7 linked regions of the Oryctolagus cuniculus genome follow. The protein of the gene in region 4 interacts with the protein of the main gene of each other region in a pairwise test. Links are inferred from orthologs where the notes say so. Each region holds a gene or a part of one and is shown on either strand. Other genes may lie near its edges.

What was found.
Region 1: the proteins of CREB3 (region 4) and ACSF2 interact in a two-hybrid assay, tested with the Homo sapiens proteins (2 studies listed by BioGRID and IntAct). The two-hybrid records come from large-scale screens. The link is inferred for Oryctolagus cuniculus from reciprocal best matches to the Homo sapiens genes CREB3 and ACSF2.
Region 2: the proteins of CREB3 (region 4) and CD82 interact in a two-hybrid assay, tested with the Homo sapiens proteins (2 studies listed by BioGRID and IntAct). The two-hybrid records come from large-scale screens. The link is inferred for Oryctolagus cuniculus from reciprocal best matches to the Homo sapiens genes CREB3 and CD82.
Region 3: the proteins of CREB3 (region 4) and ATP6AP2 interact in a two-hybrid assay, tested with the Homo sapiens proteins (2 studies listed by BioGRID and IntAct). The two-hybrid records come from large-scale screens. The link is inferred for Oryctolagus cuniculus from reciprocal best matches to the Homo sapiens genes CREB3 and ATP6AP2.
Region 5: the proteins of CREB3 (region 4) and AQP1 interact in binary tests that used the Homo sapiens proteins (3 or more experiments, as listed by UniProt). The two-hybrid records come from large-scale screens. The link is inferred for Oryctolagus cuniculus from reciprocal best matches to the Homo sapiens genes CREB3 and AQP1.
Region 6: the proteins of CREB3 (region 4) and C4H3orf52 interact in a two-hybrid assay, tested with the Homo sapiens proteins (2 studies listed by BioGRID and IntAct). The two-hybrid records come from large-scale screens. The link is inferred for Oryctolagus cuniculus from reciprocal best matches to the Homo sapiens genes CREB3 and C3orf52.
Region 7: the proteins of CREB3 (region 4) and RHEB interact in a two-hybrid assay, tested with the Homo sapiens proteins (2 studies listed by BioGRID and IntAct). The two-hybrid records come from large-scale screens. The link is inferred for Oryctolagus cuniculus from reciprocal best matches to the Homo sapiens genes CREB3 and RHEB.

What each region holds. Positions count from the first base shown.
Region 1 is NC_091448.1:26,333,293-26,337,320, forward strand, and holds the start of ACSF2 (medium-chain acyl-CoA ligase ACSF2, mitochondrial), read left to right. Parts: upstream 1-1,228; 5' UTR 1,229-1,653; coding exon 1,654-1,781; intron 1,782-4,028. UniProt on the Homo sapiens protein: Acyl-CoA synthases catalyze the initial reaction in fatty acid metabolism, by forming a thioester with CoA. Has some preference toward medium-chain substrates. Plays a role in adipocyte differentiation.
Region 2 is NC_091432.1:21,096,396-21,099,895, forward strand, and holds part of CD82 (CD82 antigen), read right to left. Parts: intron 2,075-3,500; coding exon 1,950-2,074; intron 1,827-1,949; coding exon 1,752-1,826; intron 1-1,751. UniProt on the Homo sapiens protein: Structural component of specialized membrane microdomains known as tetraspanin-enriched microdomains (TERMs), which act as platforms for receptor clustering and signaling.
Region 3 is NC_091453.1:26,459,492-26,463,639, reverse strand, and holds the start of ATP6AP2 (renin receptor), read right to left. Parts: upstream 2,801-4,148; 5' UTR 2,574-2,800; coding exon 2,534-2,573; intron 1-2,533. UniProt on the Homo sapiens protein: Multifunctional protein which functions as a renin, prorenin cellular receptor and is involved in the assembly of the lysosomal proton-transporting V-type ATPase (V-ATPase) and the acidification of the endo-lysosomal system.
Region 4 is NC_091432.1:198,639,729-198,643,871, reverse strand, and holds the start of CREB3 (cyclic AMP-responsive element-binding protein 3), read right to left. Parts: upstream 2,801-4,143; coding exon 2,363-2,800; exon of another isoform or gene 2,359-2,362; intron 2,262-2,358; coding exon 2,124-2,261; intron 2,027-2,123; coding exon 1,879-2,026; intron 1,803-1,878; coding exon 1,735-1,802; intron 1,616-1,734; coding exon 1,526-1,615; intron 1-1,525. UniProt on the Homo sapiens protein: Endoplasmic reticulum (ER)-bound sequence-specific transcription factor that directly binds DNA and activates transcription. Plays a role in the unfolded protein response (UPR), promoting cell survival versus ER stress-induced apoptotic cell death.
Region 5 is NC_091447.1:22,123,360-22,127,483, forward strand, and holds the start of AQP1 (aquaporin-1), read left to right. Parts: upstream 1-1,324; 5' UTR 1,325-1,443; intron 1,444-2,471; 5' UTR 2,472-2,551; coding exon 2,552-2,935; intron 2,936-4,124. UniProt on the Homo sapiens protein: Forms a water channel that facilitates the transport of water across cell membranes, playing a crucial role in water homeostasis in various tissues.
Region 6 is NC_091435.1:68,130,444-68,134,689, reverse strand, and holds the start of C4H3orf52 (TPA-induced transmembrane protein), read right to left. Parts: upstream 2,801-4,246; 5' UTR 2,716-2,800; coding exon 2,578-2,715; intron 1-2,577. UniProt on the Homo sapiens protein: Has a role in LIPH-mediated synthesis of 2-acyl lysophosphatidic acid (LPA). LPA is a bioactive lipid mediator involved in different biological processes, and necessary to promote hair formation and growth.
Region 7 is NC_091438.1:22,310,807-22,315,091, reverse strand, and holds the start of RHEB (GTP-binding protein Rheb), read right to left. Parts: upstream 2,801-4,285; 5' UTR 2,337-2,800; coding exon 2,285-2,336; intron 1-2,284. UniProt on the Homo sapiens protein: Small GTPase that acts as an allosteric activator of the canonical mTORC1 complex, an evolutionarily conserved central nutrient sensor that stimulates anabolic reactions and macromolecule biosynthesis to promote cellular biomass generation and growth.

The sequences.
Region 1 (4,028 bases), on a different chromosome or scaffold from region 4:
GAGGCAGAGAGAGAGAGAGAGAGGGAAAGAGAGAGGTCTTCCACCCACTGGTTCACTCCCCAGATGGCTGAAACTACTGGAGCTGAGTTGATCCGAAGCCAGAAGCCAGAAGCCAGGAGCTTCTTCTGAGTCTCCCACATCGGTGCAGGGGCCCAAGGACTTGGGCCATCTTCACTGCTTTTCCAGGCCATAGTAGAGAGCTGGGTCAGAAGTGGAGCAGCTGGGACTTGAACCTGCGGCCATATGGGATGCTGGCACTGCAGCCTGAGGCTTTACCCGCTACACCACAGCGCTGGCCCCTTTCTCACCGTTTAAATAAGCTTTATCACTTGGTGCAGCCCATCTGTGCCTGCCCTTAGATCGCTTCTCTAGGTAGAAGGCAAGGGCATGGACTAAGAATGTAGACCCCACTCTGCCACATCATGAGGTCCCTGCCCAGGAGCCAGGGCTGCAGGGGGCTGGAGGTCACTCAGGATGGTGAGGGCAGCAGCCTGGACTCCTACTCATGACCTCAACTGAGCCAGTGCGCGGGAAAGGGCAAAGGTCTCTTCAGGGCAGACTCCACCCGCAGCCACCCTGCTGCCCGGAGGTTACTTCATCCCTTCCAGGTCAGCAGAGGGGACTCACTCTGCCAAGGCCTTTCTCCCCCTCTTTCTCTGGAGGAAAGGGTCAAAGCTAGCCCAGGATGCTGCGAGCCTGGGACCTGTGTATGTGGAGCCACTCTTTGGAGCCCCGTGCCTCCCGGCTAGGACCATGGATGGACGGCCACTTTTCCGTCCTGCAGCCCTGCAGGGTCTTAGCAGCCCACTTGCAGCGGGGCCTCAGCGAATCAAGAGGCAGCTAAGAGCCGCTCCCTGTGTTAGCCTCCCAGCAGCGAGGGCAGGGCTGGCCAACCGGGGATGGGATACACAGGCGGGCCCCTGACGCCACCTTACAGCCCGGCGCAGGAACCCCACTGGGAGGGTCTATGCCGTGGCACAGGCGGCGGAGCGGCGGACACCGCCTGCGAGACAGCGCCACCCGCCACCAACAGCCGTCCCTTGCGAGGCTGACGTCCTGCCTCGGCCCCGCGCCGGCGGGCTGGGAGGGGCTCCCTGCCGCGCGCGTCGTTCCGGCCGCCTCCGCGGCTCCGCGGGCCTCTGCTCCAGCTGGCACGCCCCGCGGGCGCCTCGCACCAGCTCCCTCGGCCTCGGACAGCAACGCGGGGGGCGGGGGACACGTGACCCACGCGCTAAATCGGGCGTAGGAGACGCACAGGCCTGAGCCTGGCCACCCGGCCCTGCACAACTCACCAGTGGACAACCCCCCCCGCCACGCCTTTGTGAAATCTGCAAGCTCTTGCGCCCCCAAGACCCAGATGGTTAGGAGGGTGCCCCTTGTCTTGGGCTGCAGGGCCAGTGTTTGGATCCGGAAGGAAAACAGGGGAATTCTTCGTGGGTGGGCGCGGAGGGCCGCGGGTCCCAGGGGAAGGTGGCCCCAGGGCAGAGTCGCCACTCCTCGCCTCGCCTCGCCCCGCCCCGCCTCGGCGGGACCGAGTCCTCCGCACCCCATAGGCAGAGGCGACCCTCCCCGCCTCCCCGCCTGCTCCGCGCTCGCCCCGCCTCGGCTCACTTTAAAAGTTTAGTCCGGCCGGGACGCGGGGCGAAGCAAGTCATGGCTGTCTACGCCGGGATGCTGCGCTTGGGGAGGCTGTACGCCGGGAGTCCGGGGGTCCTGGGGGCCCGCGCGGTCCTCCCTCGGGGTTGGCAGGAAGCGAGGCTGCAGGGTGTCCGCTCGCTCAGGTAGGGGGGCTCCGGGAAGAGAAGAGGAGGCACGGCCCCCGGGAAGGGCTCTTGCGGGGGGGTGGGCCCCGCAGAGCTTGCTCCCCATCCCACTCGAGCGTCGCAGCCCACGGGTGGCGCGCCCCGGGGAGTCAGTGCCCCCTTCCCCGCACCCGGGCCCCGGGCAAAGCAGGGTCTGGGGCTGCTGCTGGCAGATTCGGTGAACCATTACCGCCTTTCTGGGTTCTAATCCCCTTCTGGGTGCACGCAGAGGCTCCCGGCATGGGCCTGTAGCAGTCTGCCCTGAGGGGGAGGGGCGAGGGCCACGGCTGCGCCCTGCCCCCACCACACGGCCTCTGCGCCCACCCTCTTAGAGGGTAACTCTGGGGCTCGGCGCCACCCCACCCCCACCCAGGCCACTGCACCCAGCAGTGTCCCCTCTGCCCCTCAACTGCTGAGAAACACTGGTTTCCTTCCTGGCTTCCTACTCCTGGGCCCGTTTGCTTCTGTCCTTGGGTGGGGGCTGGCAGGAAGGCAGAGGATGTGCTGGGCCCGGGAGCTTTGCTGGGTCGGCAGCAGTACAATAAGTAAGCCTGCCTTCCCGGGGTCGCCGGTTGTTGCAGGATCCCACGAGATTGCAAATGTGGAAGTCCCGGCCGGGCCAGATGCTGTTAGGGTGGTGTTATCGCCTGCGCCAGCAGGGGGGAGGCCTGCGCTCTTCTGAGCCAGTCCTGCTCCCAGCCCAGCCGGGAACTAATCTGCGGTCAGGACATTTCTGGTGTGGGTCACAGCCGTGGGGCCGGGGCCTGGGCATGGCACCGGGACAAGAGGCCTGAACAGGGCTGTGTCGCAGAGGACTAGATTTGGTATTTAGGGGGAAAAAACGCAGATCCTTTTTTGGCAAGATCACGACATTTTGAACTCGCTCATTCCGGAGAGCTAGAAAGCAGGCTTTGATGTTTCATATCACCGCCTAATTGCTAGAAAACGCTCCGTGGGTGCCTGCTGGCCTGTAGATTCCGATGGAGAGAGCTGGGCCTGCTTCCACTCCTCCCTCACCTTCCAGCCCCACCTTGGGATTCCTGGGTGCCTGGTCTGCCGTGAGGACTGGAAGGAGAGTTATCCCCCAAAGTGAACAGAGTTTATGATGCTAACGCAGGCCGGTTGGGCCACAGAGTGACATTTCTGACTGTTGATTTTGTGGGTGAGTAAGCTAAACCTCTAAGCCTATGACCTGGGGGGGGGGGGCAGACCTTAGTGATAAGAGCTCCTAAGCTCCAGCCTAACTTCCGGTCTGTCCTGACCCCCCCCCCCCCCCCGCCCCCACCACGCTTGCGGCTGACTGCTGGTTTTGCCTGGTTTCCCTCCTTCGGAAGCCTCTGGCTGGCAAACCTTCCACAAACACTGTGTGGAGCACCTAGTGGGCGCGCTGGGTACAGGCGCTGGGCCTCGGTGCTCAGCTTTCCAGGAGTTTGCACACCGGTGGAGGAACCTCCAGGGACCGCTGCTGAGTGCTGCGGGAGGCTCCTGGCTCCTGTCCTCTGCTGTTTCTGATTTGGTCACACATAGCCTGCTCTGCTGCTGCCCAACCCAGGCCCCCCGCCCCCAAAAAGCTGTTCCTTCTCATCTCTGGTTTTTGCTTAGTGAGCAGAGAGCCAGAACACCGAAGCCAGATGGTCTTGAGTGACAGCCCTGGCTCCTCCCCCGACAGTTGCATGATCTTAGGCATTATTGCTGAGCCTGGTTGGTTTGACACTAATACTCCCTACTTGACAGGTCATGGGGCTGATGGACAAAGCTCACTCTTCTACCCAGCCTGTCCTCCGAGGTAGGGCTGCTGCTCCCTGAACCTCCAGGAATGATGCCTGGCTGGGCGTTCCAACCACTTTGAAAGTGACAGAGGCTCCCCTCCTCAGGGGTCTCTTTCTTGGACCTGATTCTTCCTCCTGGCCAGTTGCCAAGATGGTGGCTTCCAACTGGACACGAGTCGAGTCCTCTATCCAAGACAGGGCTGTCCATCCTGCTCCAGAGCTCCCCAACCCCCAACTCCTTCCTCTGTCCACACTCCTCTTTCCCAAGGGAGGTGGGTGGGCTACTCTGGGGTTCCAGGGAGCTGCAAGGGAGGCATCCAAGGGGAAGTCGGGGATGAGCAGCTTCCTCCAGACCTGGCTCAGAGCTGGCCGGGGCAGCCTGTGCACAGCCACATCTAATGCTGGGGAAGCTCCGTGCAGGAGCGGACAGAGAGCACTGGGGTTGAAGCCTCCAGAA
Region 2 (3,500 bases), about 180 Mb from region 4:
TTTGGGGCTGCGGGACAGTGAGTCACACAGGGGACGGGGTGGGCGGCCAGAGGTCCCTACCGAGGCCAGCAGCTTCTGAGTCATGGGGGCTCAGCTCCCAGGGCCAGGCCCCTCCCCTCGCAGCTGACGGGGTGCCCGAGAAGCCGCAGGCAGCCATGAAGAGTGGACCCCGCAACCCTCTTGCTGGAAACAAGTTTCCCTTCCCTAACCGCTGGCTTCCTGTCCAATAGCCAGATGAGCGTCTTCATCTACCAAGTCCTCTACTTCCCCCTTTGCCTTGCCTGCCAGGAAGCTCAGGGCTCAATTTAAACCCTGCAGGGCCATGCGTATCTTGGGTGTAGACGATACATAAGCAAAGCAGCTTCAGACAGGTGCTAGCACAATGCTTGTTTCCTGGCCCTGCCGCTGACCAGCTGTGAGAACTGGGGCAGGCTCCTTCGCCTCTCTGGGCCTCAGCTTCCACATCTGAAAATGGGTATATGAGTACCCGGAGTCGCACAGCATTGGCGGACGAATAACCACATGCATTGTGTGCTGAGTGCTGTTAGCACCAGGCCTGCCTTGTCTTGCAACGACCATTAGGGGTCGCTGTTGATACTGTGTTTGCTCGGCTCCCTTCCAAGCAGGATCTGAGACCAAAGGCAGGAGCCCGTCTGGCCACCCGCTGTGCTCTGCTAGCCCCTTGGGTGGGCAGGCACTGGTAGCCGGTGCTGGCAGCCGGCCCTGGAGGGAGGCAGGACCCCCAAGGCTTAGCTGGGCCACGGACAGCAGTGCAGTGGAGTGCAGGCAAGGGTGGGCTCCGGCCTTGGAGCCATCTGTGGGATGGAGCTTCTCCCACGGCCTGGCGGTAACCTGGGCAGGGCCAGCGGGAGGACGAAGCTGAGAGAGTGACCCACCCTGTCCCTGGCAGCTGATGGCTGCGCGGGGCCAGCTGCCCGGAGGGTACAGGCTCCGGTTACCACTATCGACGCGCCTGTCACTCATCTCCCGGAGCAGCTGCTTCTCCACCTGCCAAGGCAGAACTTCACCAGCAGAGCGGTCGTGTGGATGAGACAGTGTCTCTAGAGCTTCTAGAAGATTCTATGGCACGCACAGCCGCTCCGGACAGGATCATGGGGACAGTTGCAGCTGAGTGTGGCCCACCCAGCGGTCTTCCCCGGGGCCCTTTCCCTCCTGTGCTCTGTCTTCACAGTCAAATAGTCACTTCCTCAGCCGCCCCTGGAAACCCCGTCCTGGGAAGCCAGAGCAAGGGCTGTTGGGTTTCTACTCTCGCAAGCTGGACAGCTCCCCTCCGACACAGGACTCACGATTTAACAACAGGCTCCTCCCTGGGCCCCAGTGACGCATGGGTCCCCTGGATGTGACGCTTCCCAAGGTCCCTTAGCAACAGCAAGATGGAAGAACATTTCCTGAACCGTTACCATGCCACGCGCGCCTGTGCTAAGTGTCTCACGGAGATGGTCTCCCCAAGTGCATAGGACAACGCCGTCTCCCTTGTACCGACAGCGATGCAGGCACAGAGAGGGCAGGCAGCTTGGCCGAGGCCACACAGTGAGCAAGTGGCCCAGTACGGTGGGCACGGCTCAGCCCAGCAGTGACCCTGCCTCCGGGAGCTGCCTCCTGAGGATGCGCCCCCTCCAATCCAATCCCACAACCTCCGCCATGCCCGCCCGATCACCCCGACACCCAGGGCCAATCCCTTACGTGTGCGTGCTGGTCTGGGGCAGTGCTGGGGGAGACGGGGGGCTTACCTTGCCCACGTTGAAGTAGAAGAGGACCCCCGCAGTCACCTGGGCGATGAGGATCAGGAGGAGGAAGGCGAAGTACTAGGGACACAGAGCAGGCCTGGCGTGAGACCGGGGGAGAAATGCCCCAGCCAGACCTCGGCTGGACGGGGGAGGTGGGCGGGCGGGCGGGCGGGCAGCGGCTGCGCAGGGGCGGGCACTCACCAGCCCCAGCAGGCAGCGGACCTCGTTGATGGCGCCAAGGCAGCCCAGGAAGCCCATGAACATGGTGACCGCCCCCACGCCGATGAAGATGTAGGCTCCCATCTTGAGCGAGCTGGAGGACGTCTCTAAGGAAGCAGAAGCACGGCCGCTCGTTAGTAAGCCCAGAACCGGTTAGGACAGAGCCTGCAGGCCCAGCAGGTGCACAAAGACCCGGCCCAAGGCTCCGGGTGTGCTCCTCCCTCTCCCTCCTCGGCTTCAAGGTGCTGGGGTCCACCATGATTGCCCCTACCAGCCTCCTGCCACCCGACCGGGAACCGGCTCCCTCGGCCCCTTGCAAGCTACCCGCCCGCTGTGGATGCGTCCCCAGCCTTGACATACGCTGAGCGCACGCCCAGGCTCGACCTCATCTCCTTAGCACTTGCAGAGTGAGACAGGGGCTGCAGTTGGGTCCTGCTGAGCCCCCTGCTGGCCAAACAGTGCAAAAGCCCAGTGAATGCTGCAAGTACTTTTAATTCAACCAACCACCGGCTGGCCGGCAGCCCCTGCTAGGGCCCCCAACAGGACCACTCCCGCCTAGTGCCGGATCACTTTCCTTCTTGTCCAGATCACAGTAAACATCATCACTTCCTGCCCACTCTCCGGGCCTTGGGGGCCTGACCCACCCCGTCTCCAAGTGGCGCGAGCCATGGCCATTTCAAGGGCGGGGTTACCAGGGCCAAGGCTGCAGCTGGGGTTTAGAAATAAGCAGACTCCAGGGCCCTGCACTTGGCACTGCTACATGGGCACATGCACGGATACAGGGGCGAGCCTTGTTCATGCATCCGGGCAGCAAAGCCCTAACTGGGCGCTGTGCTCACGCCTGGGGCAGCAGAAGGCAGGCAGACAAGCCCTGACATCTGGCGGGGGGTGGGGGAGAGACGTGGGGACAACAAGGGAAGAACCCAAGGCACTTTAGAAAGTTCATGGAAATGGGACATCAAGGATAAGCTTATTTTGGTAGTAGTTTTTTTTTTTTTAACCCATGCAGTTCTTTTTATAATGTGAATTTCCAACAAATGTTTGGAAGTATGCTCATCCAGAGTGCATTGACTGATTGCTTATACGAGAGGGAGAGAGAGACGGAAAGAGAAACAGAGAGAATGCATCAGAGAGAGCTTCCGTCCTCTGGTTCACTCCCCAAATGCCAGCAACAGACAGGGCTGGGTCAGGCTGAAGGCAGGAGCCCAGAACTCAATACGAGTCTCCTGAGTGGGGGGCGGGGACCCACACTCTTGAGCCATCACGTGCTGCCTCCCAGGGGGCGCGTGCACAGGAAGCTGGCATTGTGAGTGGAGCCTGCACTAGCATACAGGCTTCTGACGTGGCATGCACGGGTCTCCAGCGGGGTCTTTCCCACGGCGCCCAGAGCCCATCCCTTGTTTGGATTTTCTGGCCGGGTTAAGGGCCATGAAGATCTGAGGGTGGGTTACGCTGGAGACAACCGCAGGGGGCTTGGCCTGAGCTGGAACGGTTAGGGGAGGTGGTCGGAGCGGGTCTCCTCTGAGTCAGCCA
Region 3 (4,148 bases), on a different chromosome or scaffold from region 4:
CAGCGCCTTCCTCTCAGCTGCTTGAATCCATCCTTACCCCCTCCCTCCGCTCCGCCATTCACCAAGCACTGAATTCTGTCGGTCTTGTTTTCTTAGTGTCTCCCCACTAAGTGTGCGGTGCACACTCTTCAGGGCCTGCTGAGGTTGGTGACAAAACGCCTGTTTCAAGTCCTTGTCATGCCACTCTCTGACCCGGCTTCCTACCACCTTTTTAAACACAGATCTGCCAGATCACTCTTCTACTTAAATGCCTTCATTCGCGAGGCAAAATTCCCCAAACCCCACCTACCTCAGCAACCTTGCTTCTGGGACCTCCCAACTCAATGCCTATACATCCCTGCCCCACCAAATTATCTGCTCTTTTGTTCTCATATCTCTGTGTTTTTTTTTTTTTTTTATACATGCTGTTGGTCTAAATTGCCTTGCCTTCATACCGCCTCTCATATTTTTCCTACTATACACTTCTCCTAGGGAACTTCCCTCCACTGCCACCCCGCCACCCCTGCCAGCTAGATGTGTCCCTCCCCTGGGGCATTCCACCAGCCTGAGCTATGATCTTCTATGACTGGGGGGTGAAATCAATCACTAATTTCCCAAAAAATGGCTCCTACTTTTGTCCTCCAGGGCAGCAGTGACCAAATGGACCTATTCTTCTACATGACGTCCCTTCAAACCCCATGTGTTTGCCCTTGACCTCTCCTTTCCAGGCTAAACATCTGGATTGCTTTCAAATACTCCTCATGACCTGGTATTCATAACCCAAGTTCCCTATCTCTTTTGTGTCCCCCTCCCCCTTTCCCTAGTTCTCCCTCTAGTCTGGTCACACTGTTTGAAGGATTTTTATTCTTTTCTGAAATGCAGAAGCCAGAGCTCCTAACCGTGGGTTTCATGAAATCACATTTAGTCATTGTGGAAAATAATAATTTAGCCTCATCTGACAAGACTGGGCAAAGCAGAAGCTCGCAGGATCAGAGCCTTGGTCTGTGGAAACTTGACCATTCTGGTCCAGAAAGCCTGTTCAATGCTCATACAGAAGCAATTACTTTATGTCAGACCAAAAGCAAACAGAAAAACCTAGACCTACCTCCCTGACTCAAAATAGTACCAGACATAAGATCAAGACACGGAATGTCAATAGACGTTCAGTTCAACTACAGTATCGGAGGGAAGACTTGGCAGATTTCAAAAACTGAATGAAAATTTTTAAAAACTCCCCCAAAGTATGCCAACAGATCAGAATGACATTTCCAGAGCAAGAAACAGCAATGAAAGAAATCAAATAGGGACCCTAAAAGTTTGGGGGCATGAAAATGAAACAACGGTCATCAACACACAAGCCTGGGCAGCGCCGGGGAAGGAGGGAAGTTGCAGCCCTCCAGAACACCATTGGTCTACAGCCCACGCAGGATTAAATCACCACTGTAAAAAGGAGCCTCTCCCAGTAGCTCGCGCAGCAGAGGCACAGGCCTCCCACAGGTTTTGACGGTGACATGCTGGGGACCACAGCACCTGTTCATCCGAGTTGTTCTCAACTCGGCCTCTTCTTCCCTACTACTGTCTGTGCCCTCAGTCTAACCCCCACCACCCCCGCATTCTCACACACTTGACAGGACGTGCGCCGCAAGGCATAGCATGCAAAGGGCCCACCCTTTGCAGCCAGCACACCTGGATTCAAATCCAGCCTTGCTACTTAGCTACCTGTGGCTGCTGGGTAGGTTATGTAGGCTTGATCGCGCTGCAAAACGAGGCTGATACCCTCTTCTACAGATTGCTGTAAAATAAAACGCGGTGCCAGGACACATAGTAAAAAGGCCAGATTATTAGCGGACTTGCACTCCTCTTGCTAAATGGTAGGGAACCCAGGTTCTGCTAGCTCTCATTTATCTGACATGTGACCCTAAAGAGGTGACTCACATCCTAGTTTCCAAATCCTTAAAATTAGGAACTGTGACAAACTCATGAGAGGGGCTTTGTATTCGCCTAAAAAACAAAAACAAAAAAAACATGCAAACAATGACTCCATCTCCATTTCTGTGCCCCGAAACATATACAAGGGAGGGGAAGGGATTTTATCCTTTATTGATAACAACTACTAGAAATTAAGGCACCGCATTAATGTAAAATAAAAATAAAATAAAAGGCAGCCGACCATGGCGGTTAGGAAGTCTGCCTGCTCTCCTTGGCTCCTTGGCAGCGGGCTGCGATTCAACGGTTCATTGAGAAACGCATCCCCCTCCTCCGATAGGGCCTCCCGAGCCGGAAAAGGAGACCGGGCTGACCGGAGGTCGGCGACACGGCGGGCGGAGGCGCCTTGCTCAAAGAGGCGGAGGGTGGAGGCCGGCTCAGGCCGCGCCGCCACAGGCCCCGGCGGAGAGAAGCCGAGAGGGAGGCGGCCGAAGCTAGGCCGCAGCCGGCTCCCCGCACTGCGGCACACGCCCCGCCGCCGCAGCCGCCCACCTGCGGTGGCCCCCGACCCCCAAGCCCCGCGGCTCGGGCCTCCCGGAGCCTCCCCGCCCGCCCCCTGGTTCCTCACCCGCCACCAACACGGACAGGAGCACGACGAGCACAGCCATGGTGCCGCGGCAGCTGCAGCACTGCGGGGCGACACAACGAGCCCGCGGGACACGAGCGACTACCTCTGCGGGAAGGGGGTGACGCGCTCCGGCTCGTTCCGACTCCCAGAGCCAGTCCCTTCGTCGCCCCCGCGGGGCCAGCTGCCTCCTTCTCCACCAATCAGCAGCTACGCCGGAGACAACGGGAAGGACGTAACCTGGGACTCGTCAGCCTGATGGGCGGAGCCTAGAGTGATGGATGGAAGGGTCACCAATGGTAGGCCACGATTGAAAAGCCGAGCAGTCCCGCCCCCAGGCCCGTGATGACGGGTCACGAGATGGAGGTAGGGTGGATGGTCTCTCGGAGAGGGTGTCGGAGCAGGTCTGGAGGATCCCTAGAGCCCACACGGTGGAGCTGCCTCCTGGGTGCGGACCCTTTGGCCAGCCTCGGGTAACAATCCCCAACCAGGGTGTCTGCCGGCTACCAGCGCCAGCTGTGTAAACTGCGGAACTGGTTCGGGTTTCGCTCTAAACCGGTACACAGACGCTGAGCACCTGCAGAGAAAGAGCCGGCTCCTCGGGCAACCCCTGTCCTCCAAGTAGCGGTGGCAGATAAAATTCAGGACGCCCAGTTACATGCTAATTTCAGATAAACAACGAACAATTTTGGTATGTCGCGAATGTTTAATGGTACATCTTTAAAATAAATTGTTGTGTCTGAGCGAGTGCTGACAGAGGACCACCACACACACATTTTAGAGTCCTTTATTGCCGGCGGCTGAGTGGGCTCATGCCCCAAAGAACTCTCGACCTTGAAGCCCAAAGCAACAGGGTTTATAAAGGCAAAAACCACAAAATCGGGAGGGCAATACATGGTTACTGGGGTCAAGCAAACCTAAAACCTATGCGAAACTAGTATCAATTATAATCTTGACAATACCAATTACAATCTTAACAATTTCAATTATAATCTTGACATTAATCCAGATATTGGCTTAAATTGGACATAGACAAATTACAATTTTATCATTAACCCAGGTGCAGCCTATCCACTTCTAAGCTTGAGCGATCATGCTAAAGGGTTTCTATGCTTTGCCAAGTGTGATGTAGTGGCCTGCTATTGTCCGACTATTTTAGATCATCGTTTCAGACCAGAGTCTCACGGTGAGGGGGGGTTGCCTTCCCAGAATGGAGTCTCATCTGCTCCAAAATGGAGTATCTACTGTCCAGGTGTTACTTCAAAGTATTCATTGTTTATCTGAAATTCAGATATTAACTTGGTGTTGTGTATGATTTGCTAAGCCTGGTAACCCTATCTCCAAAAACTTTCAGATCCGCAAAGATCAAATGGGACAGAAGATTAATTACTTTGATCTTGCAGTCACTCCATTTCCAACCTGAGGATAGGTGATGGCTAGACCTACTAATCAGACCCAGATTCTCCCTTCCAGCAGTTTGTAGTCTATTGTCAAGAAGTGACACAGTGTAGCATCTGTGGTCGGAAGATGCTGCCCCAGCTGATAACCTGGAGAGATGGCTCTGGTTTCAATATGCAGAGGGAAATGGGGAGGATTCCAGGTAACAGAGCCCGTGAGA
Region 4 (4,143 bases):
TCCCTTGTCTAGCCTCCCTAACCAGTAGCCATTTTGGTTTCCATCAGAATGCCTCTAAAGACCAGGTGTTAAGATCACAGGTGCCAGAGCATTTTTAACAATTTCATTCACTGAAAAATTTCTTACCCTGAATTAACATCTGCCTCCATGTAATTTCTATCCATTGAACTTATCTCTGGGGTCGTGTAGAACAAAATTCTACATAGCTGTTTTAAGGCTGTTGGCATTTCCTCAGAGTTTAAAAAAACACACACACAAAAAAACCCTGGACAGACTTCTTAACCCAACATTTCACCATCACTGCATCCTCTTGGTATCTGTCAAAGATACAGGCCCAAAACTGGGCACTTAAAATGCACTGTGATTTGTACAAAAGACAGCAAGACAGTCTTGCCTTTTTAGAGACAATGCATGTATTGACGCTGCTTCCACATCCCACTTGCTTTGCCATATCTCACTGCTGACTCATCTTGTACTTTTAAGAAGTTAAAATTTCTTTAATAAGTACTTATTTTATTACAGGGTCACAATACTGTGCTTGTGAAGTCACCACCCAGTGTTGAAACTTAAAACTTATGCTTCTACATTTGTACTGTTAGAAGGCTTAGTCCAGGCCGGCGCCGTGGCTCACTAGGCTAATCCTCCACCTTGCGGCGCCGGCACGCCGGGTTCTAGTCCCAGTCGGGGCGCCGGATTCTGTCCCGGTTGCCCCTCTTCCAGGCCAGCTCTCTGCTATGGCCTGCAGCTCTCTGCAGTGGAGGCTGGCCCAAGTGCTTGGGCCCTGCACCCCATGGGAGACCAGGAGAAGCACCTGGCTCCTGGCTTCAGATCAGCGCAGTGCACCAGCCCCAGCAGCCATTGGAGGGTGAACCAACAGCAAAAGGAAGACCTTTCTCTCTGTCTCTCTCTTTCACTGTCCATTCTGCCTGTCAAAAAAAAAAAAAAAAAAAAAAAGAAGGCTTAATCCAGCCTCATTGAACTCCCTAAAACAATTCTCCCATTCAGCGCGATGTAGATTACCACCAAGCCGATGAACTCCAAGTGGCAGAGCCCTTCCCTTGCACAGTCCTGCCCAAGGCCCTACGCTAATGTTGCATTGATAATTCTGAAATCTTTTTTCTTAGAACACCAAAATGTGTTAGAAGCCTCACAAAACCAGGATCCACCCTTGCATCTAGCATATTAACCAACAACTCTGCTAAGATGTTCACCTCTTAAGTGTATCTTATTTTTGACACTGATATTACACACATCTATAGGATACAGAGTGACATTTAAGTAATGTATACAATGTAAAAATAAGTAGGGCAGGGTAACTGGCACATGTATCACTGCAGACATTTATCATTTCTTTGAATCAGAAACTGAATATCCTCTCTGCTAGCTATTTTGAAATGCAGCTGCTACCAAGCATAACGTTAGAAGTGACTCCTATCTGACTGCATTCCGGTACAGGTCGACCAGCCTCTCTGCACTCTCCCTCCCCTACACCCTCCAGCCTTTGCCCCACCAATGGGAGCCTTACCTTGGTGAGAGGAAGCGTTCCAGGCAGAGTAAGCCCCTCCTTCTCCAGTAGCCTCTTCTCCTCCTCGGTCAGTACCAGCCTAGCAACCTCCTGAGGTTACGGGGAAGTAGGCAGCAGTTGCATGGGGATGTCCGAAAGAAATGGGAATTCCCGCCCCGCCCCGCCCCGTGCAATGTGGGGATAAGCCTCCTGAAAATCAAGTCAGCTACCTGCTCTGTTGGCTCCTCCACATACAGCGGAGTCATCGGAGCCTCCTCCTTCCCATAGCTCCCACTATCTGCAAAAGGGCAATTGTGACTAGCCGGGCCCACGGACCCTCTCCTCTAGCTCCCAACTTTTCTGATGTCACTCACCTACGTCCACGGAGACATGCTCCTGTGGGAGGGAGTAAGTGTGATCGTGGTGCACAGGCGAGGGCTCGCAGGAGCTGAGGTCGGCCAACGACGCCGGGGGACTCAGCAGGGTGCTCAGCAGATCCTCTGCCTCCCAGTCGCTCAGTACCTGCACCGGGTTCAAATTCCCAGGCCCTGGCCTGTCACTGACACCCGGGTCTCGCGGACGTGCCGCGCCTCCCTGACGCGGAGCCCTACCCACCCACCTCGGAAAGCGGCAGCTCCCAATCCGGGGGCGCCTCCACCGACTCATCGGCTGCCTCCCCCCATGCTCCGCTCTGCTCGAGCAGGAAGCCGAGCAGGTCCTGATCGCCAGGGTCCAACGCCAGCTCCATCTGCGACATCTACGGCAGAAACTCAAGGGTTCACTTCGCAGCCCGGTTCCAATACGCGAGCCCCAGGCACGACCCCCAGCCCAACCGCCGGGTCTCTCCCGCCTACCCACCGCTCCTCTTCGGCTGGCCTTCCCCGCTGCCGGGGCGGCAGTCGCTGTCAAGCCCGACCCACCCACCCGCCGGACTCCGTCGCCCTCGGCCTCCAACACAGCACAAGTGACGCACGCGGCCCCGCGGCCTCTCGGGACTTGTAGTTCCCTCCGAGCCGGAAGTGGCTCGGGTGCTGCGCCACGTCCCGGGGGCGATGCAAATGAGGGGGACGTCCCCGCCCCGGGGGCGGGGACACCGGCGACTCGCCTCCGCCTTCGCCCCGAGCTAGAAAAAAGGAAGAGTCCGAGTGTAACAGGGAACTCGGGCGCCGCTGGGGTGTTTTCTCCGGATTGCGCCGCGCCCTGGCTTCCTGCCGGGGAGGGGCTGCCAGTCTTCGGCGGGCTCGCGAGCATCGAGAGCTGGGGCCAGAGCAGCTTCCTGCAGGTCCCCAAAACCATAGAGCGCGGGCCCAGGGCGCCGCCCGGGGGTGGGGGACGCGCCGGGGACGGAAGTGGCCGAGTGTGGCGAAGGGAGGGCGAGGCCGGAGCCGGAGAGCGGGCCCGGAGGACGAGCAGGGCCGGCGGGCGGGGCGCAGAGCCGGGCAGCGCAGGTAGGCCGCGGCGGGCCGGGCCGGAACCTCGGGGTGGGGCCGCGAGGTCTGGCCCGGGAGGCGGGCGGGCGCGGCCCCTGACTGCGGCGCGTCTATGGCGGGTTCTGGGGGAGACGTCAGCTTCCAGGGTGTCTCGGCAGGCCGATCTGCGGGAGGTGGCTCCTCTGCGGGAGCAGTCCTTGGCCTGGAATAGGTTTTGGGGAAGGGTGAGGAGTGTGGCGGCCGCGGGGCGCAGGGCGGGGATGGGCTTTGGTGTTTGCTGATAGCGGGGATGTTGGGCTGGAGAGCTGTGGATGAGTCTGGGTTTAGGTGGGGTTGGGTTTGGGAATCAAGGGTCTCTTTAGGAGGTGTAAGGCCGGGGTTAACGCTTGAGTTATTGGCGTGATTTAGATCCGTTTTATAAATAAGTGAGGTTGAGGTTGAGGTCGTTATTTTGTTTCCTGGGATGACCAGAGGTAAGTCAGAGTTAAAAGAGTTCAGGGTCAGGTTAATGGTCAACAACAGGAATTAGGTTAGAAGTCCATTTTAAGGATCATAGGATATTGTCGTGGTCAGTTTTAAGGATAAACAGTGAAAAGGTGAGTTAGGAATCAAGTTACAGGTGAGCTAATTTAGACTTAGGGGTCAACATTTTGGGTTAAAGTCAGCAGATTTGGTGCTAACGGTAAAAATTAGTTGAGCCTTAGGGATCAAGGATTGGATGCTTGCTGGTCTCTGCTAGGAGGGGGATTCTATGAGAATGAGGAAACAAATTAGGGCACTAAGGGCAGACCCAGGCCAGGAATATTGACCTTGGGCAGATAACATTTAAGAGGTCGGCAATAGATCGATGCCTTTGGTGTGTGTGTGTGTGTGTGTGTGTGAGAGAAAGAGAGAGTGGGGGGGAGGGAAGTCCCCTCATTTTTATTTAGTCACAGGAGCTTCTTTCAGCCAGAGAGATGACACATTTTGGGTTGGGGTTCTGGACTTCAGGTAGAATTTCCTCGATTCCTCTCTAAGCTCAATGCTGTTGCTGTGGCCACCACAGTTACGGGGCAGGGATTGCTGGACTGTGTTCTGTATGAGATGGGAGGTGGGCAATGGCCAGGGACCCAGGCAGTGGGGACCACCCAGGGAGGAGGAGAGCAGTGGCTAAGGGGGAAGCCGACCAGGGGCCACCGTTGTGTGAGAGAAGGGGATGAATGAATCCCT
Region 5 (4,124 bases), on a different chromosome or scaffold from region 4:
CTCATTCTGGCTCTGCCTTTCCTGAGCCAGTCACTTCTGTTGCTCCGGAGCCTTCCGGGGCTGAGGGGCGAAGGCCACAGTTGGATGAAGGGCACCAGTGGGATGCTGGTCCTTTCGCCCTACTTGAACTTAGCCTGGATTTGTCGAGTACCAGGGAAGAGGCGGCAGCAGAGGGGTCTAGGGTGTCTCTGAGCCTCCAGCCACAAACCCTCCCCTGGCCCATCCAATGGCCAGGTGGTAGCCACAGAAACCACTTTGTACCACAGGAGAGCACGGGGCCTGCATTTGCCTCTCCGGCCCCCTGCGTTCTGATGACGCCTCCTGGTGAGGGTGGTGCCTTCTTCCACAGGACGGGAGCCGCAGCAGCTGCATGGCAGCAGATGCCCAGCCGGGAAGGTACGGCCTCGCCCTGAGGACCAGAGACCGGGGTGGGGGCCCCACGCTGTTCCCTGTGACTCCCCAGCTCCTGCTGCAGAGCCAGGGCACCTGCTGAGGACACCTTCACACTCACACACTCCACAGTCCCAGCTGGCCCCTGCAGCCACACGGAGCCCAGTGAGGACAGGACGCTGGTCTGTCTGGGCGTTTGCTGTCCCCAGCACCCAGGACAGGGTTTGGCATCTGCCAGGGGGCTAAGCCAGCCCTTGGTGGGTAAATTCGTAGGTCCAAGTGGCTGTCACCATCATGCGTGTCATGCAGCCTCTGGCCTGGCCTGCAGTCATGGTTCCACCAAGCTTGTGGCCCTGATTCTGCCAAGGGGCATTCAGTAGTAGCTCCATGGGGCCCGGGGCCAGTCCTGCCCCAACCCTGAGCTCCCTCACTGCCTCTTGGCTGGATCCTGGCACTGAGCAGTGACAAAGCTCAGCCCTGCATGAATAGGGGGAGGGTGGGGACAGGCGACGATGGTGTGGGGGTCCCGCAGTGGATGTGGCCCAGGGGAGACACGCCAGGAGCCTGGGGCCTGAGAGATAGGAGCCGTGTGAGGAACCCCAGCCCTGTGAGCAGACCTCTGGCTGGAGGACCCTGGAACTGACCACAGAACTCCCCGCGGGGGCCGAGGCTGTGCCGAGTGGAGGATGTGCAGTTGGCTCCCTCTCTGGGCTGGTTAAAAGGCACCAATTACCTCAGTTCACCCAGGCTCCTGAACAGACAGGGCCGCTGGCCACCAGGGTGACAAGCTGCCCCCGGGCTACTCTGTGCTTACAGGCAGTGGGGTGCACGTGGCTGGTGCAGCTCCTGACCCCACCCCAGCTGGCCGCCTGCCCCCAGCACACGCAGATTTCAGAGGCGTCCCTCCCCTCCCTGGCTGGGGAGGAGTCAGCACTGCTGGGGCAGAAGGGCAGCGGGGAGGGCAGGTGGAAGCCGAGCTGCCCGGAGCATCCCAGGCCCTTGCTGAGCGCCCAGCTGGGGCCCTGCCCGGATCGCCTTCCTGCACCGGCACAGGCAAGGGGGCTGCACCAGGGGCTTCCTGCCTGCTCTCGGCTGAGTCCTGATTCCTGCTCTGCTGGCTGCCCCTGGGCCGTGGGTCTTCTCTCCCCGGCAGCTGTCGGCTCCCTGGCTCCCGGCTCCTCTGTAACTCCCACCTTTCTGCTTTGTGGCTGCAGAGCCAGCTGGCGCCCACCTTGGCGGTGTGTTTCCTGCCAGCCTATCTCCCCGTCTCGGGCTGGGGCGCTCTCTCTTCCTCTGCCCTGCGCCTGCAGCCCTGCTTCTCCCCTGCCTCTCTGCCCTCGCGGTCTGCCTGCCCCCCCCCCCCCCGTCCGCCCTTTTCTCTCCTCTCAGGGACCTTGGGCTCTGGGTTGAGCTTCTGCTCCTTCTGTCTCTCCACTAACATGTGGCCATGTCTCAAACTGGCCCCGACAGCCCCACTGCCCCCACAGCATCAATACACATTGCTCCCCGGGACTTGGAGGGGCCCTGGGGTGGGGCTTCCTGCCATCTCGTGCCTGCCCTTGACCCGGCACGGAGGGCGGCACCCAGACAAGCTCCCTCTCTGTCCACGGAGGCCTGGCGGCTCTGGGGCATCCCTGAAGTGACGCGCAGTGCTGGGGCCCCGGAGCTGCCGGCTCCAGACCTGACACGGCTCTTGGGTGGGATTGGGGATGCCAGGCAAAGCCAGGTCATGGTGCCGTCTCCAGGGAGGACTGTGCCACCTGGCTCTCTCCAGCCCCCTGAGTGGGGCCAGCTTGGAGGAATTTCCCAAAGCCTATTAGAGCAGCGGCTGCCTCCTGCCTGCCTCCTCGGACTGGGCAGGGAGGAGGGTGGAGGGAGCCAGGGAGGGAGGGAGGGAGGGAGGGAGGGGGAGAGGAGGAAGGAAAAAAGTTGGCAGGCGGACAGCAGAGCCGTGGCGGCATCTCGCCCCAGAGGAGGCCTGTGCGGTGCGGGGCGGGCCAGCGGCAAGGAGAGGCCTTTCCTCCCTTTGTGCTCCCCGCCCCCCGTCCACACCCCCACACCCCCCCCCGCCCTATAAATAGGCCCCGGCCAGGCTGTGGCTGAGCTTGCAGGCAGTGGAGCCCCAGGCAGCGAGCCGCCTCCTGTCGAGCCCCCAGCCAGCATGGCCAGCGAGTTCAAGAAGAAGATCTTCTGGAGGGCGGTGGTGGCCGAGTTCCTGGCCATGACCCTCTTCGTCTTCATCAGCATCGGTTCTGCCCTGGGCTTCCAGTACCCGGTGGGCAGCAACCAGACGGCCGTGCAGGACAACGTGAAGGTGTCGCTGGCCTTCGGCCTGAGCATTGCCACGCTGGCCCAGAGCGTGGGCCACATCAGCGGCGCCCACCTCAACCCGGCCGTCACGCTGGGCCTGCTGCTCAGCTGCCAGATCAGCATCCTGCGAGCCGTCCTGTACATCATCGCCCAGTGCGTGGGGGCCATCGTCGCCACCGCCATCCTCTCGGGCGTCACCTCGTCCCTGCCCATGAACTCGCTCGGCCGCAACGACGTGAGTCGCGGGGACCCAGGCGTGTGGGGAGTCCAGCAGAGAGGAACTCAGCCCCATCCTCTGCCCATTGTGCAGATGGAGACGCTGAGGATCCGAGAGGACCAGAGGTTGCTGAAGGTCATGGAGAGAGCTGGGGCTGGAGCTCAGCTGTGCCCGCTTGCTGCCAGGCGCTGTGGGAAGCTGAGCTCCAGAGACTGGTGGCTGTGCCAATGTCCCCTGCAGGGCATCTGCTGCGGGCATAAGCTCTGGGAGCCGCTGGCTGTTTGGGCCAGCAGTTGTACCCCCGGGGCTGTAGCTTCCTGGCCCTCGTTTGCCCTGCCTGTGCAACCGGCTCCATTCTCTGGAGCCCTGCCCCTGGGCAAGCTCTGCCCGCTGCCCTCAGCCACGCTGAGCCAGAGGGTGGCGTATCTGTGACCAGTCCTGCGAGTGGGGGAGCAGGAATCCCCAGGGGAGCCTCCAGGTGGCCCCCTGTGTTCACACAGGTCCCCAGATCAACTGCCCCCTGTCCTGGGAGGCAGGCCCCTCTGCAGCTCTGCTCAGGGACCTGGACAAAGATAAGGGAATGGAAACGCTGTCCCGGGCTGCTGGAAGGCGGCTGCCCCAGACGGCAGCATGGGGTGGGGGCAGGGGCAGGGGCTGGCGCCACCATCCGGGGCGTGTTTATGTGTGTGTGACCATGTGTGTGTGCACCTGCTGGCCGGTGCGGTCTCTGAGCCTGTGGAAGCGCTGTGCCCACCTGTGCCCAGAGCTCCTGGGCCAGGGTGGGTAATGGCAGCCACATGTTGGCAGCTGAGTGGAAGCTGCCCAAAGGATTGCTCCCTGATGGCTTACTAAGCATGTCTGAGTGGCTGTTGGTGGCAGCTGCCTGTGGTCATAGACCTAGGCTTTTGCAGTTCCTCGGCCAAGTGCCCGGGCCACGGCAGGGGGCCATTTGGCCCCAGTGGCTGCGTAGGGGCTGGAGGGTGTCTCAGAGGGCTGGAGGGACAGGCAGGCAGGTTTGGGGTGCAGAGAGGAGGCACAGGATCCAGAGAAACCAGGCTGGCAGGACAGGCAGCTCGGGACAGAAAGGTGGCTGGCAGAGGCTCCTCAGGGGTGGCGGGGGTGGGGTGGGGGGTGGATTGGGATTAGAGTCTGCACACTCTGCAGCTCAAGTTCAAGTCCTGGGAAGGGGCTGGTGCTGAAGGCAGCT
Region 6 (4,246 bases), on a different chromosome or scaffold from region 4:
TTTAATGCACTTGCTGTTTGATCCAAGCACAAAAGAGCCAGTTGATTTTTATCCTGAACCGAACAATATGTAGCAATGGAGCTAATTTTTAGGTAGCCCATTCCCATAAGCCTTGCCTACCTCAAAAGCACCAATTTACTGGTTTAATATTATTCTAATGATGCTGTCATCGCTTAAAATGTCTCTGAGATTTCTATTTGAAACCTGAGTCAGAGCCCACGTATGAGCCATAGAAGGAAACTAGTCCCACCTCATTACCATAATTTCTTTTCCACTTTTGACCTTGTGTTCAGAGTGGCAGCAGGCAGAGTTCTATGGCTTGTATCCCTTTCCCCCAGTCCTCAAACCTAGATCAAGAGAGGAAAAGAAGTTCTTTCCACTGTCTTTGCATACTCTTGCAGCTCAGCTGTGCCAACCAGGAGGACATCACAGGGTGGGATGTCTATTTCCTGTGACCCCAGAACCGTTCCCTACCCCTCAACATCCACCCATCCACTCATCCAGCACCAACTCTTTCCATACTCCTATTTCACTTAAATTACAATTATAAATTACCTAACTTAAAGAAATTAGCAATATCTAATCTAGGCAACTACAATAAGTGAGTACAAATTATAAGTCACATTATATATTTAAATGATCGAGACTAAACCAACAGAAACAGCGTAGGTGACAGAATGTCTGAGTTCAAACCTCAGAGGCAGCACTGAGAATATTTGGGCATTGAGAGGCTCAATTTTCAGTTTCCTCGCCTGTCAAATCACAACACTGACAACATTCATAAATGCACTTATGTATCACAGGTGTTTGGCATATGTAGGTACGCAACAGGTGCACAATGGAAATATAGGGAATTAAGCTGCATTTGAAAATGGAAATCAGTACACAGTTTAAGCAGCTCCAAACAGAAAACTCTCAAGCGTCTGAGTTCTGTCCTGTGCAAGCCAGTATGCTTAGTGACCCTACACTAATTGACTTTCCTGAGTTTAAATGCATGTCAGCTCACTCTTCAAAACAAAACAAAACAAAAAAATTACCACACTGGGTGATGGGTTGTCACCTTTAAAGATTTTTCCTGCTCAGGCATTTCTAGAATGTCCTCGAGTGCTCACATAGCCCTTGGCCTTCACTCCCTTCTGTTGCTCACCAGAGCTTTCATACTGAGAGACCTACAAAGCTACCTCACAAGGAAATCCAGGACACCTGTATAACCTAACAAACAAGGAAGTCTTTAGAACATGAAAGAGCAATCGCTACGGGGCAGGTGCTAACCAATTGGAAAACACTGACACCTACATGGGTATCACGTTCTACAATTCAACTGTTTTCCACCAAGCACCGCCAGGTCTCACAGATGCCCAGCTGGGCACCTTCCCTTTCCACTTTTGACAGCCTTGGCCCTGGACCACAGCTTACAGTGGTGAAGCTGTCACCACAACTCTCATCACTGGACTTAGTTTCAAAACATGGAGACTTGAGGTGTCCTGGGTCTCTCTAATGTGAAACAGGGATCTCCAATTCCCAAACCTCTGCCTAATGCTGTATGGCTGAAGACACTGGGCCTGGCGATCAGACCATGGGTGTACACTCTTCACTCTTCCCAGGTGTTTATATTTCATTCAAACATAAAGTGCCCAAGTACTCTCTAGGATACCAGTAAAAGCAAGCTTTTCAGGAAAGCATACAGAGCCATATTCTGAACCTCTGGATTTCCTGTTTGTCCCCAAAATCAACAGTTGAGTGGCCAAAAGGGGCAGGACGGAGGAGTGGGGCCTGGTGCCATCAGGCTCTTTATACAGTTCCTTGTACCCAGTAAACCCCAAGCCAGCGGTGGGAGTTAATCACAAGGATGGCCCAGAATTCAAAGTCTCTGATGTTTTACAAGCATTTGATGGGAGCCTATACTGTTGCCACCACCGCTGGAGTTGAATCAGAAAACTGCTCGGTCGAAACATCACGAGGGACTTCCTTAGGGATCCAAAGGAGGCGACAGCAGAGGGGGCTTGGTTCCTTGGGACAAGAACTTTGCAAATATTTCCTCTGATGTGAACACAGCGAGCTCACCCCCTCCCAGGCCAGCTCCAGGCCCCTGGCTCCTGCGGCTTTCTCCCCTCTCCGTCTTTCGGCGGAATCCGAAGGCCAGGCCGGGAGAAGACAGAAAGTGTTCGTGTCTGGGGCGAGGAGCGAGGACGGTGGGTGGGGGATGGGGGCTAGGGAGCGGAAGGCGGGGTGGGGGCCGGAGTTGGAGAGGTCTGGAGGGTTGAAAGGAGGCGGGCGAGATCCTAAGGAAAGGAGTTGACTCCGTCTATGACCCTCGTTCTCACTACTTGAAAGAGAAAATAAACTTCATTAAAGAGCCCAGCTCTATCCCGGGGGAGTCTGGTTCTCCAGAGCGGCGCGGCCACACCCCGCACTGGGGTTCCCGGAGCGCGGCGGGGTCGCGGGCGGCGCAGGGGCCGGTGCGGGCGGGCGGGCGGGCTCGAGCCCCGGGCGTCGGAAGCTGCCCGGAGAACGCTCGGGAACCCCGAAACTCCCAGCTGCCGGGCCCGTCCCACCGGCGCGCCGCGGGCACCTCACCTGCGGCGGGCAGGCCTCCTCCACCGATGCCGAGATGACCGTGACCTCTCCACTGAGAGGCGTCTGCTCGTCTGACTGCCCCCCGAGCACCGAGAGCTCCAGCTCGTCTCGGGCCGACGGGCACACGGCCGCTTCCATGGGCCGGCTGAGGAGGGCTGAGCTGCTCTGCCCGCGGCCAGCGCCTACACACCTGAGGGCGCAAAGTCCAAGGTTGCCCCCCCCCCCAACCCCACCCCGCTCACACTCCACCCACAGGGCGGGGCGCGCCGCAGACCTCGGGCCGCGGGAGGGGCGAGGCAGGTGAGCGGCAACGCTCACCCAGGGAGGGAGGCCCTCCTGGCCCCTGCAGGCTCCCGCGGCTGCGACCGTGCCCTGCCGCGTGCTCCCGAGCGACGCAAGGCAGTTTTTCTGGTTTGTTCAGGGCGCTGCCTGCTATGCCTTTCCCCGTCCTGCAGAGGCAAACCAGCTCTTGAGACTGGCTGGGGAGCGGGCTGTGGAGAGGAAGTTCCACGGAGGAAAGTCTGTCTGATACCCCCGGAGCTGTCAGTTGCTGGGACTTGCCCCCGTCCTCTCTGCCTGGTAAAATTTCGTCGCTGAGTCAACAAATAACTCCGCACCTTCGACTGCGTGCCAGGCATGGCGCTAGGTTCTGAGCACGTGCAGATCTCGCGCGCACACAGACACACACACACAGTTCTCTTAGGTCCAGAGTCAGACATGGTGACGGTATTGAGTGGTGAGGGGGTGGGAGTGGAGGGGTAGCAGCAGACTCCAGAACCAGACTCTTCATCCCCACTCAGAGGGCGCCTAATCAAAAGACCTCAGGCGCCGTGGGTTCTGTGCCAGACTGCCCTCATCCGGAAATTTGGCATAGCTTACATGCCGCTTAATGTGGTTCTTGCCAGGATTGAGAGTTGAGGCAAATAAAGCGCTCAGAACCTAACACAGAGCCAGCACCGGTAAGCTTTGGCTCCTATTATTTACCTTTGAGGGGAAGGATCAGAGACACTCCCTCTCCTAAGGAAAGTATACACACACACACACACACACACACACAGAGTCTCTCCATAGATCTGAACTTCTGGTTTAGTGAGCATAGAATTGTGTTGGTCCAAAATCTCAGCTCTGAAGCTTCTGTTCAGAGCAGCCTTGCCCCCCTCTCTCTCTCTCCCTCCCTTTCTCCCTCCCTCTCTCCCTCTCTCTCTCCCTCTCTCTCTCTCTCTCTCACACACACACACAAACACACACACACCAGTCAGAAGAGTCAAGAGACATAGAAATAAGCTCCATCCTGAAGACATGGACTTGTGTTAAAAAGCTGGGACCTCACTGCCCCCTGCGCAGGTGCTCTGTCCGTTAGCAGATCATCTGTACTTTGGACTCCACCTGCTACTGAATAGGGTCTGCTAACTGCAGTGACTGGGCTGCTGGCCAGCACCAACTTCTGCCCTCTCGTCTAACAAGCAGATCCTGTAGGAATCAGGCTCCATTGGCAGCTGGGGTTTTGAAGAGGCTTTTAAACAAAGGCACAAGGGTTAAGGGAATCAAGGAGGAATGCCGAGGTGCTGGCCCCCAGCAAGAGTGAGAAGCTGCTGAAAACTCCAGGCCTAAAAAGGGACTGGAGGCTGATTGAGAACAGGAGCCATGGAAGGGGCAGTAGTGGGGGCTC
Region 7 (4,285 bases), on a different chromosome or scaffold from region 4:
GAAGGCCAATCTCCCTCCCCCCAAAAACCCCACAAACTACCAAGCATCGGGGATCATAATAGACGCAAATAACGTCAAAAGCAAACACAACACTGGAGCTAATTTCTCATGTACTTTCATCTCACTATGCTTGAAAATAAATATGGAGAAAATGGAGTAGGCTGTAGAAATATGACATACTGTAGAAATACAACATACTAGGAGTTACTATGCATCCCACTGGAGGCTAAGTTAGCAGCACAGTGCTTAAATAGTTTAACAGTGATAAAACACTGGACTTGCTCACTGGAGACTAGGGTCGCCATTTCAAAATCGTCAAAGGGTAAATTAAGTCATAACCTTCAGGCCATTTGCTTGGGTTGAAACCAGGTAGCTGGCTTGGCTCTGTGGCATAGGGGGTAAAGCCACACTGCCTGCAGCGCTGGCATCCCATATGGGCGCAGGTTCGATCCTGGCTGCTCCACTTCTGATCCAGCTCTCTGCTATGGCCTGGGAAAGCAGTAGAAGATGGCCCAAGTCCTTGGGCCCCTGCACCCAAGTGGGAGACCTGGAAGAAGCTCCTGGCTTCTGATCGGCCCAGCTCTGGCCATTATGGCCATTTGGGGATTGGACCAGCAGAATAAAGACTTCTCCCTCTGTCTCTCTGTAATTCTGCTTCTCAAATAAGCTCAAAAAAAGAAAAGAAAGAAACCAGGTAGACTAAGTGCTCATCACTGTAAGCTCGTTCTTCCGAGACTCCTATCTTTGGTCAGCACTATGTATCTGATCAGACAGCACTCAAGAGCCAACACCTGCCACAGACCCTCTCTTCCAAACGCACACAAGGAAACACGGAGAACACAGAAAAGCAAGAAGATGCCTCAGGCTGCTGATAAAGTTTAGATCACAGGACCATACTGGCATTTGGAAAGCGGACTGCGGAGCGCCTTTCCGGCTGCAGCTGTTAGGGCTGTCACCTGCTATTTCCATCTGTGCGTCCAGACCTCTGATGTGGGACTGCGGGCTAGGCATATCCACACAGCTCATCCACCTCTGATTCCCGCCCACCGCCGAATCTCCGGACTCCCCCCGGAGAGACGGTAAAGGGATGAGTAAGCATGCTGTAGCCGATCTGGGTCAAAGCGAACAGACCCTGGCACGGGCGGTGGAAAGTGGGGGTGAGGCAGCGAGAGAGACGCACAGCCGGGGAGTTCCTCTGCCGAGCGCCGGCAGCCACGGTTCCCTCCAGCGGCCACCACCAGAGCCGCCAAACGCTGGCTTTCCCCTCCGCCCCGCAGCGTGCTCAGGTGCACACTGTCTTTCGACAGTTACTTTTTAAAAAAAACCAGCAGGACAACATAAACGTATTTTCTCCAGGTATCGGCTTGTCTGAGACAACAAAGCCGCCCCCAAGTTCAACGGCTCTGTTTTTTTCCCAGTATGACACTCAGGGCACCAACCCCCGACTCCCTCTACCCAGCAAAGCAGCGACTGCCAGAAACAGTTTCAAATGTATGCCGACCTCCTAAGAAAAAAAAAAAAAAAAGAGAAGACTTCCGAATCACTCCAACAGCCTGAATACAGGCACCTGACCTTATTATTTTTTTTTTTCCCCTAAGAAAAATAGGGCACCGAGAGACGAGAAAATTTTCTCTCCTTTCCTATTTTGGCCGCCAAGAGTATCTGGAGCACTTTTGGTCTCTTTGGGGGCTTTTCTAGGTTTCTTTGGTAGGGAACTTGCCCTCAGTAACCAAACTCTAACCTGGGGGGGGGGGGAGGTGTGTGTGGTGTGTATGTGTGTGTTTCAGGCTGAACTTCACAGATTTAAAGGACCCAAGGTGCCGTTTTCTTTGTCAAAATCCCACGGACTTCACTGGAGGCCGGGGTGGCGGAAGGCGGCAGCCGGGATCACGAGCGCCGGCGGCCGAAGGTAGAGGGAGGCAGGTGCGAGTCCCACCTGCTGGGAGCGCCCGGCAGGGCGGCAAGCGACTCCCACCGCCGCCAAACGCGCCCTCGGCAAACCTAGGGCTCCTCCGCGCCCGGTGGCCCCACGTGCCCCGCCGCCACCTGCCCGCCCCGGCCCCGCAGGGCGCGGGTTCCCGCATCGCCCGGTCCGGCGCGGTCGCCGCCGCCCCGACCGCCGCCACCTCTGCTCAAAATGGTGGTTACGAAACGCGGCCCCCCTCCCGCCCGGCCCACGGCCGCGCCGGCTCCACAAACTTCGTCGGCGCGGCCGCATCCCCGCAACCCAGCCGAGGTAGAGGCCCCGGCGGCGCGAGGAGGCCGCGCGGCGCCGGCCACTCACCCACAGACCGGTAGCCCAGGATCGCGATCTTCCGGGACTTGGACTGCGGCATCTTGGCGGCCTCCTCAGCCCCGGCCCAACCACATCAACCGCGGCGGCGACGGCTGCTGCTGCTGCTGCTGCGATCGGCGGCGGCCGCGCCGGGGGACAGCGGCATACAGGGCAGGGGCGGCGGCGGGCGCGGCTGCTCTCTCTCGCTCGCTCGCTCGCTCGCTCGCGCGCTCCAACCGCCCGGAACCGACCGCGCGACGGCGCCCCTCCCCCCACAACACGGCCACGTGACCGCCCCGCCGCGGCCGCCCCCTCCGCCAGGGCCCGCGTCAGCGCCGCTCCTCCCGCCGCCGCCGCGGCTCGCCGCCTCCGCCCCCTGTAAAGGCGCGGAGGATGCGTCGGGGCAACGTTCTACTTTAAAGGGAAAAAACGGGGACGCCGAAATGCTCCCGGAAAAGTCAAGACTGAAACTCGCTGCGTCATGACCCTCCCACCTCCTTCCGCCGCTTTTTAATTACGCCAATTCTCTCCGGACGCTGATTGGACAGTTCCTGCCCGCCCGCGCGATGACGCGACGGAAACTCCGTCTCCCATTGGGGACGACGAGGAGGCGGGGCCAGAGGCGGGGCTACTCGCCGGGAGGCTAAAAATACACCCGGCTCCTCCGCAGCGCCTGGGCGCCGGCGGGGTTTGAAGGCTTCGAACTTGCAACGGGTGGGAAGTGGGCGGGAGAGGCGGAGAGAGAGCGCGCGAGCGAGCGAAGATGCTCCGCAGCTATTGGCCCGAGAGGAGCGCGGGGCGGGGCTAGCGGCGGGAGGCGCGGGGATTGGAGGAACGTCGAGCAGTTGGCTGACTGGCTCTCGCGGAGCCCTTAAAAGGTTCGAGGCGCGTGGCCATGGCGGGCTGGCTGTGGGTTGACCGGCTCCCCCCTCTTTTTTTTTTTTTTTTTTTTTTTTTTGGTACAGTCTCTCACCGCTTTGGCGTTCCCAGGTCTAGGTTTGAGGATGTAGGTGGTGACTAAGCGTCGCCCGAGGCTTAGAGACTGTGGGCTGAAGGGAAGCTGCATGAATTCCGAGATGTCAGGAATTTCATTAAAAACGGCGCGAGCCTCTGCAGCTGTGGTGTGAAGCCCTGTGACGGGCGGGCCCGGTGCGGGAATCCTGCGGTAACAACCAACGCCAGACCCTCGCGCTGCTCGTCCACGAGGCCGTTCTCGGGGAAGGGGCCGGGGTGGGCGTTGGGGGGGCGCAGGCTGTCGCGGACAGACCCCCTTTTGCAGGGTGTCTGTGAAGAGCCGCGGCCGCCCCGCGGAGCGCAGGAAGGCGAACCAGCCCGGGAAAGGCGGGCCTGAGAAAATGAAGATGCCGTTGGGAGACTCCCCAGCCATGGCAGACAGCGTTGAACGCGGTGGTGGCCGAATAAGCAGTTCCACTGCTGCCGCTCCTGCGAATCTGCCCCTGGTGTGCGGCCCGGGCTGACGACAGCTGCCCTCGCGCCGCCCCCTCCCCCACGAGTGGGGCGGGGACCCCCGGGGGCCGGCCTTGGGTTGCGGAGTGTGGAGATTCAGAGCGCTTGTTGTATAGCTGCACCTGGTCGAATTGCAACCCTGCCCTAAGCGTTCCGGCTTACCCACCGAAACCCTCCTAGCAAAGGGGAGAGGTGTACGTTTGTATCCTCAGGGTTCTGCAGATTGAAGTCGCAGACAACCAGCTGGAAGCCATCTTTAAAACTCTATAGTTTGTCTCAGCGAAGAATTGCCTTCTCTATAATTTATTTAAAGATTATTATTTTAAAATTTTTATTGTCACTTATTAGAGAGAAAGAGATAGCTTCTGTCTACTGGTTGACTCACCAAATAACTACAACAACTAGAGCTGGGCCAGGCCATACTCAAGAGCACAGAACTCAATCCTGATTTTCCCACGTGGTTGGCAGATACCCAAGTACTTGAGCCATCACCTGCTTCCTCCCAGAGTGCGTTAGCAGGAAGCTGGTTCAGAAATACAAGAG